2 linked regions of the Saccharomyces cerevisiae S288C genome follow. The protein of the gene in region 2 interacts with the protein of the main gene of each other region in a pairwise test. Each region holds a gene or a part of one and is shown on either strand. Other genes may lie near its edges.

Region 1 (4,050 bases), on a different chromosome or scaffold from region 2:
CACCAACGCAAAAAAAGAAAAAGAAAAAAAAAAAAAAAACATTAAAAACGTTTCTTTTTCACGTGCTAAGTGATCTAATAATTTAGGGTTATGCATGGGTGGGGCCGGATAAACCGCGGTTGAAAGTGATTAAACGGAGTCTTTTCTTTTTTTTGCTTCTTCGTTTCTTTTTTTAATTTCTTCTTTCTTCACGAATATTTATTACCCAGCCTGTCATGATTTTTTGATACGTAATTGCCCTGGTTGGGCCCTTTTGCGAGTGGCAGTAAGTATGGAAGGGGCGAACAATGATTGTAAGTTGTTTTTTTAATAGGGTAACGACCGGGTAAAATAGAAAGAAGTGTTGACTAAGAAACGGGAATCAACATTCACTTGCTTATCTTAAAATGTTATGTATATATACGCCCTGTAGATATGTATAAAATATATACTTGTAGAAGGAGTTTAATGTATATATATCTTTTAAAAAGGAATAGGTAAAAAGATTGAAACAGAAGGGAAAGTTGCTATTCCCTGATAGTGGCGCTTATTGGAATTGTAGGCCCTACGTCATTTTCTTGAACTTTTTTTCTTCTTTGCAGAATCGTGGACGTATCCAGCGTTAATTGGAACATATTTTGTTCCAGCTGTTCATCGCCTTGGGCGCCACTGTAACTATCTTCCAATTCTTCGTCCTCAGCAAGCGAGCCTAATCCTCCACGTGTTCCCATACGGTCTTCTTCGGTACGTTTCACAGCATTACCAATATCAAAGGCGTCACGCATAGCAACAGCAGCTGGTGAAAACAGTAGCGAGGAGTCTCTTTGAAATAGTTGGAATTGTTTCTTATGCGGATGGCGTCTTTCGGAAGTACCTGCTTTCTTTTGTGAAGATTCGCCCTCCTTTGGTAAACAATCGAATGTATTTAACCATGGGTCGTCCAAAAACTGGTCAATGTCGTATCTTTTAGACGGCTCTAGTTCTAATAGCTTAGCCACGGCATTCTTGGCACCGGCGCTGATTTCATCCCACCAAGGTTTCAGAAAGGTATACTCACCCCTTGATATTTTTTCAGTTAAAGTGTCAATTTTCTCATCATAGAATGGCGGGAACCCACATAACATTGTGTACAAAACGCAACCAATCCCCCACATATCCACTTTCATAGAATAATGCTCATCTTTGACAACTTCAGGGGCAGTGTAACCGACTGTACCACAAGGAGTCTTGGTGTTCTTGGAAAATATTTGTTTAGACAAACCAAAATCAGCTAGTTTTACTATACCAATTCCACCACCACCAACTCCTGGTGTGAAAATTCCCTCGTCTGCCTTTGTTTGCGGATCATCCGATTTCCTCAATTTTGGTTTTATAGAGCGTGTGAATTCAATCGGTTCAAAAAGAAGATTCTCAGGTTTTATATCACGATGCACTACACCTAGTGAATGCATATGTTTAACAGCCAGTGCTAATTGTTTGATTACATGCCTTGATAAATCTTCACTGAAATAGGTCAACCTAACAATTTCGCCGAAGATTTCCCCACCGGTTAGTAACTCTTGAATAATATAATAATAGCTATCTGTTTCTTGGAAGTCTATGAACGCGACAATTTGTGAACAACCAGCGGAAACCGTCTTATGTAGTGCAACTTCCTTCAAGACTTGATCTCTGGAAGAAGTTTTAGTGCTGTCCTTCCCTTTGTCCTTCTTACGATGATCACCATTAATCGAGGATAAATCTGCCTTTTTGATAACTTTAATGGCAACAGCTTTATAGTTTTTAGTTAAAAATTCATTAGAACTATTTTTAGCAGGTATGGCTCTAAAGACTTTTGAAAAAGCACCTTCACCGATTTTATTGATCAGCTTGTAACCTATCAATTCCTTTTGTTCGAGGAAGGATTTTTCCGGAATTTCATCTTCCATATTGTCATCATCAGTACTGTCATCCTGGATATCACTGATAATCTCGCTTTGTTCCGAAAGAGATTCGTCAGATATTAAGGGGTCGGAACTTAATTGACCTTCACTACTTTCATGGACATCGATAGCTGGCACGGAAGTAACTGTTTCCACATTTTCCGTGGTAATATTATCACTCGGTGAAGAGTCCGAGTCTATCGTGGTTACTAATTCATCGGTTAAAGACTTCATATGATGGTCATCTGCGACAACACTCGGGTACTGAACTATATTTTTGTCCTGAAAGCTTTTCTTAGGGGAAGAAGTAATCTGGGAAACATCTTTGTTATTTGTACCGCTTGACCTGGTCTTACCCTTGAATGGTTTTTTAGATTCCTGAGACAAATCTGCCTGATCCGGTTTCTTTTTCGAGAAAAGGGCCTTTATTTTAAGCATCGAAGAGATTTTGTTTGATCCTCTCTAAATAAGCAGTACTCTTAACAATACTTTCGTCTTTTCCAATCGTTAAATGTTTGTACTTCAAATAACGTATGAACTATCTGGGATTTTATTTTCTTTAATTTTTTCGATGTCACTCTTTTTTTTTCTTTGGCCGATCCGTCTTTTCTAGTAAGCGTTTGTAAAAAGTTAGATGTCAATAGGAGAGATAAAGCCCCAGAGATAGAGTTTGACTTCGTTGAAATAACTGTCGCTGATTACTATTATCTAGGATTCTTGACGAGGTTTCCTCTTAATCACTGGATTTATAATTATAACCTTAAACCTAGCCAGTAAAAAAGTTTAAAAAGAACAAAAAACAATAACAAATAAATGTCCCTTTATCCTCCTTTTTTCTCTTGATTGCTATAAAGTAAAAAGATTACTAGACTTTATGCCAACGTACTCGTGGACGACTAAAACTAACGGTGATTTTTTGGATCGTAGTGGCTCTTTTTCAGCCTTCGTACTTTCAAGAATAAAGGAAATGGCAACTACTAAAAAGAGTGCCTGCGCAACGGATGTTTTATTAGCTTGAAGATGTAGCTGAATAACTCCTGTTTTTAAGTGAGCTCGAAATGACGAACCAGTCAAAGAACAAACTTGACCGCAAATACAGGGACATCCAAGGAGTCTGGGATAGCTTCACTCCTATGAGAGCTCAAGGAATTACCTGCTCGCATCTCTGACCAAGGATAAGGCTCGTTTTTTCCTTTTTCGGAACACTCGAACTGCTACCCGTCTTTTCCAGATCTACAGCTGATGAAATGTGGCTGATGAATGTATTGATTTGCCACTTTCTAGGCGCTGTCTAAAGGAATGAACTCCAGGAAAGGCCAACTTATTCGACGGTAAATGTCTGCAGTAGGTGCGCTATTAGCAAGGGAGTACAACGTGACTGCCGAAAAATGCGACTTTTTCCTAGAAAATGGTTCTTTTGATTCAGTGATAGCAGCATTGCCAGCGCTAAATCAGGAACAAGAGACTGTAACTCAAAAAGTTAGCAAGAACGGAAAAGAATTAATCAACGTTGCCTCGGTAAATATCGAAATACCAGAGCGAATAAGTCTTTCCAACAACGGTAGGCAGTTATTTAAATTTATTGTTGATATAGAGATCTTACCTTGTGAAAATGATAACGAGGCAACACTTGTTGTGTCGTCAGATTCCGTATCCTTATTTCAAATTGGATTTAAAATGGAGAACAATTCAAAAATCGCTGTTGACAAACAACTTCCGCTGATCTTGGATATATGTGCTCATAAAAACCAAGAAAGGGCCCTACGAAATCAGTTAGAAAATCGTAAATCTTTAGAACGCAAACCATCAAGAAAGAGAAGAAAAAAAAATTCAAATGTTAACGATCCTGAAAAATTACTAAAAAGTCGTATACACGAATTATCTTTGTCCTACAAAGATTTTGAATGCTCTCCAGTCGTATTCCGATACAATGATTCCTCTTTAACATGGGTTTTATCTTTTAATTTGAAGTTGAAGTTTTTAAATAATAAATTCAACCGGTTTTCCGTGGAGGCTAACCAAATACTGGACTTGACGTTCTCTAATAGGGACGAGAACGAATTTGAGCGATATCACAAGCACAGCCATATCCATTCAAACTTCATTCAAAAACAATTTATTTCTCAAATCTTGGAATATAGTAAAGATA
Region 2 (4,831 bases):
ATCTACCTGGAACGGGTGTATTTGATCTGAAGACAAGAGCAGTTTCTGCCATAAGATACGATTTATCACATGTAGAGAGTAATAACAACCAAACTGGATATGAGATAGATAAAGTTTATGGGGAATTTGAGTCTTTGGAAAGAGAATATTTTGAACTAATCAGGTCTGCCCTTCTAAAGTATTCTTTGCAAGCTAGAATTGGCAAAATGGACGGTATTTTCGTTGCATACCACAATATTTCTAAGATGTTTGGATTCCAATATCTACCTTTGGACGAATTAGATTATATAATCCATTCTTCGTATAACAGCAAATTCGACAGTTTGTTAAAGGAGAAGAATGATATCACAAAAGGGATATATGGTGAGGAGGACTACATTCTACACTATGACAGGGACGATAGGAAAATTGCTTGCTTGGTGGCTAATAGGGAATTTAAGATGTCTATGAATCTGTTCAGTAATATTTTGAAACACGTTGAGCAGTTACTTAACTCAAGTAATACGAAATGGGAAAAATGCAAAATAATGCTTAAAACCGAAGTTGAAGAAAAACGATCCAAAAGTGGCCGCTTCTTTAACGAACCGGTGCTAAATATTGTAGCCCTGCCGTTGTCACCTGAGTACGAGGATAAATCTTTATTGGTAAAGGATACTTCGAACGAACAATTAACAGAGGAGCTACTAAACCTCCGCTCATATAACGAAAATCTTTTGGAGGAACACCTGAATTCCTTAGTTGGATTTAAAGTAAATGTCAAGCATTTCTATCACCATCATCCTAATACTACACATCTACCTGATTTTGCTTTAAAAAAGAACGATATTCTCGACACCGAATCCCGTAAATATATTTCTGACATGATGAAACGAGACTGGTACAAAGATATACCATCTACACAGACTCCAAACTTTTTCCACGCTTCCGATGTTTCCACTTGGGAGGTGAACTCTACTTTTACAGATATCAATGACAAACAAATTTTACGAAAACTATACTTTAAATATTTGGATGTTAAATTAAACGCATTGAAAAATCAAGTAATCACACGTCAGGAACCTGATATGTCTAAAAAGGATGAAATTATGAATCGAATCAAATCACTACAAGCCCGCAATGATCACCGCGATAATGGAAGTAACAAAAGATATTCTAATTTTGGCCCTACCCGACTGCAAACTAAACTGCGCGCATATGCTAAAAAAGGTGCCCTTCGAAGAAAACTATTAGAAAGGAGTAACAAGTTCCATATCTAGAAGACAGTAGTCAGCGTTGGGCAATCTAATGTTATAGGTGAAGTTTTACTACTTTAATGTATTCACTCACAACTTTCGACCTTATGTAATTATTCTATGTATTTTTAGATATGTCCATACAATGCATTATTCTTGTAATTATAACACATATTAATTAAACAATGGGTCAAAAAGAGTCGAGTCCCTTGGTACATATTATGTTACATTACTGATTAAGTTGAATAAAAGCATCTAACTTTAAGGAATCTGCTTTATTTTGAAGACCGAAAACTACGAGTAAAAATAGGAGTTTTAATGCGGATGAATGTCTAACCCCAGAGATGGGTTCTCCGATAAAAACTGAGAAGCTTCCTGTTCACAGTTTTTATAAATTATTTTGTATGGCTGGGCTCTTGCAATTTTCAGCGTTTTTTTATTAAGCGAAAAAAACAGAACAGGGGTCCCCTATTCAAATATAGACGTCAAAAAGATGCAGATCTAAAACTAATTAACAACCATACAGAAATCAACGCGATTTCATCACACCATTCGCTTCTCTTCCTCCATAAGTAATAATGTTTTCATCATCATCTCGACCTTCAAAAGAGCCATTACTATTTGACATCAGACTTAGAAATTTGGACAATGATGTTTTACTGATAAAAGGCCCCCCTGATGAGGCATCTTCTGTCCTACTATCTGGAACTATAGTATTGTCAATTACTGAGCCAATTCAAATCAAGTCTTTGGCTTTGAGACTTTTTGGTAGGTTGAGACTAAATATTCCAACGGTTTTACAAACTGTTCATGGGCCGCATAAGCGATACTCAAAGTTTGAGAGAAACATATATTCTCATTTTTGGGATGATTTTAATATAAAAAGTTATTTCCAAAACTTGTACGATAATCATAATAATGGTAAAATAACAATTTCTAGTAAATCCTCAACAAATTTAGCAGCATTGCCAAAGAGAAAAAGAGCCCTTTCTACTGCATCATTGATATCAAGTAATGGGCAGACAAGCGCAAGCAAAAACTATCACACCTTAGTAAAAGGTAACTACGAATTCCCTTTCAGCGCGATTATTCCTGGGTCATTAGTGGAAAGTGTAGAAGGCCTACCAAATGCTGCCGTCACTTATGCTCTGGAAGCTACTATCGAGAGACCTAAGCAGCCCGACTTGATCTGTAAAAAACATCTAAGAGTTATTCGAACGTTAGCTATAGATGCAGTCGAGTTATCTGAAACAGTATCAGTGGATAACTCATGGCCTGAAAAAGTCGATTATACGATCTCCATTCCAACTAAGGCAATTGCCATTGGCTCTTCCACCATGATCAATATTTTAATTGTTCCTATATTAAAAGGATTGAAGTTAGGCCCTGTTAGGATCAGTTTGGTGGAAAATTCCCAGTATTGTGGTAGCTATGGAGGGGTTATCAACCAAGAAAGAATGGTGGCTAAATTAAAACTAAAAGATCCCCTGAAGCACGTTGCCCAAATAAAGAAGAAGAGGAGCCTAAATGAAGCTGCCGACGAAGGGGTTGATACGGACACAGGGGAATTTCAAGATAAATGGGAAGTTCGAGCTTTATTAAACATACCTGCAAGCCTGACTAAATGCTCCCAAGACTGTCGCATTTTATCTAATATCAAAGTCCGTCATAAGATCAAGTTCACTATAAGTTTACTCAATCCGGACGGTCATATTTCAGAATTGCGTGCGGCACTGCCTGTCCAATTATTCATTTCACCGTTTGTTCCAGTCAATGTAAAGACCTCCGATGTTATTGAAAGAACGCTCAAAACGTTTGGACCCTCATATCAAGTAACAAGTCAGCACGATAATTCATTCAGCAGCAAAAACTTTGTAGACGATAGTGAAGAAGATGTGATTTTTCAAAGATCTGCTTCTGCGTTACAATTGTCTTCAATGCCAACCATAGTATCTGGCTCTACTTTAAATATCAATAGTACTGATGCAGAGGCTACCGCAGTCGCTGACACAACTATGGTAACTAGTTTGATGGTACCTCCCAACTACGGCAATCACGTTTACGATCGAGTGTATGGCGAGGTAACTAATGAAGACGAAACTTCAGCATCAGCTTCTTCAAGTGCCGTCGAATCACAGGCAATTCACAATATTCAAAACCTATATATATCGGATAGTAACAATAGCAATAATCCTATTTTGGCACCAAATCCTCAAATCAAGATTGAAGATGATAGCCTAAATAATTGTGACTCTCGAGGGGACAGCGTTAACAATAGTAACCTGAATCTGGTTAATAGTAATCTAACAATTAGTGAAAATTGGAACAATAACTCTCCTTCTGCAAATAGATATAATAACATCATTAATGCTGGATTGAATAGTCCTTCACTGACACCAAGCTTTGCACATTTATCTAGGCGTAACTCATATAGTCGCCAAACATCTTCTACATCGCTGAAGAACGATTTGGAACTGACAGATTTAAGCAGAGTTCCCTCGTATGATAAAGCAATGAAATCTGATATGATTGGTGAGGATCTTCCACCGGCTTATCCCGAGGAAGAACTTGGAGTTCAAGAAAATAAAAAAATTGAACTAGAAAGGCCACAAATTCTTCATCACAAGTCTACATCCTCTTTGTTGCCACTTCCAGGCTCGAGCAAGAGTTCCAATAATCTGAAAAGATCGTCTAGTAGGACACATTTATCCCACTCTCCATTACCAAGGAATAATAGCGGATCCTCAGTATCATTGCAGCAGTTGGCGAGAAACAACACAGATAGTTCATTTAATCTAAATCTCTCTTTCACTTCAGCAAAAAGCAGCACAGGAAGCAGACATTTTCCGTTTAATATGACAACATCTTTCACTAGTAATTCAAGTTCCAAGAACAATTCACATTTTGATAAAACTGATTCTACATCTGACGCTAATAAGCCAAGAGAAGAGGAAAACTATACGAGCGCAACCCACAATCGAAGGTCACGCTCATCGTCAGTTCGGAGCAACAATAGCAACTCACCATTAAGACAAGGAACAGGTTCATTTGCTAATTTAATGGAGATGTTCACAAAACGGGATCGCTCATAGACTGCTTTATTTTTTGTCTTCGAAATTTCGACAAAAAGATATGAGCAATACTTCATACACGTTTGTACAGTTAAGCATATATACTTTGATAGAGTACTTTCATACCTCATACCACTTGAAAAATGATAATATAATGTTATAATACTACCTCATAATTGCTATAAAGTAAAACAATTCGGCGTTGTAGTTTATGCTTCTATAATCACAAAAAAATTTCACTGAAGTTGTCAGATTCTGCCGCAAGGCTTCTCATAGATTTTGTTAAGTGGTCTTACTCGGTTTTATGGCTTGAAGGTTAACATAATTATGAAAACTTATTGATATCCTCCCCACCCCTAACGTTTTAAAAATGATCTCGTCCAATATGTTTGAGGTGAATAATATCGGACCAGTTCTTGTTTTTAAAAGATAAGAATTGCTCATATTTCCCATACTTGTTGGAAAATTTCTCTCAACAATTGTATGAAGGCAAAATCCCTCAATTGAAACATTAAAATAGTGATTAGA

The links. The genes of interacting proteins can lie anywhere in the genome.
Region 1: the proteins of ROD1 (region 2) and RCK2 interact in a two-hybrid assay, tested with the Saccharomyces cerevisiae proteins (one study listed by BioGRID).

What each region holds. Positions count from the first base shown.
Region 1 is NC_001144.5:632,541-636,590, reverse strand, and holds RCK2 (serine/threonine protein kinase RCK2), read right to left. Parts: upstream 2,340-4,050; coding exon 507-2,339; downstream 1-506. Other genes in the region: E3 ubiquitin-protein ligase IRC20, read left to right, coding at 3,237-4,050. UniProt on the Saccharomyces cerevisiae protein: Serine/threonine-protein kinase involved in a signal transduction pathway that is activated by changes in the osmolarity of the extracellular environment.
Region 2 is NC_001147.6:362,559-367,389, forward strand, and holds ROD1 (Rod1p), read left to right. Parts: upstream 1-1,810; coding exon 1,811-4,324; downstream 4,325-4,831. Other genes in the region: PET127 (Pet127p), read left to right, coding at 1-1,256. UniProt on the Saccharomyces cerevisiae protein: Mediates resistance to o-dinitrobenzene, calcium and zinc.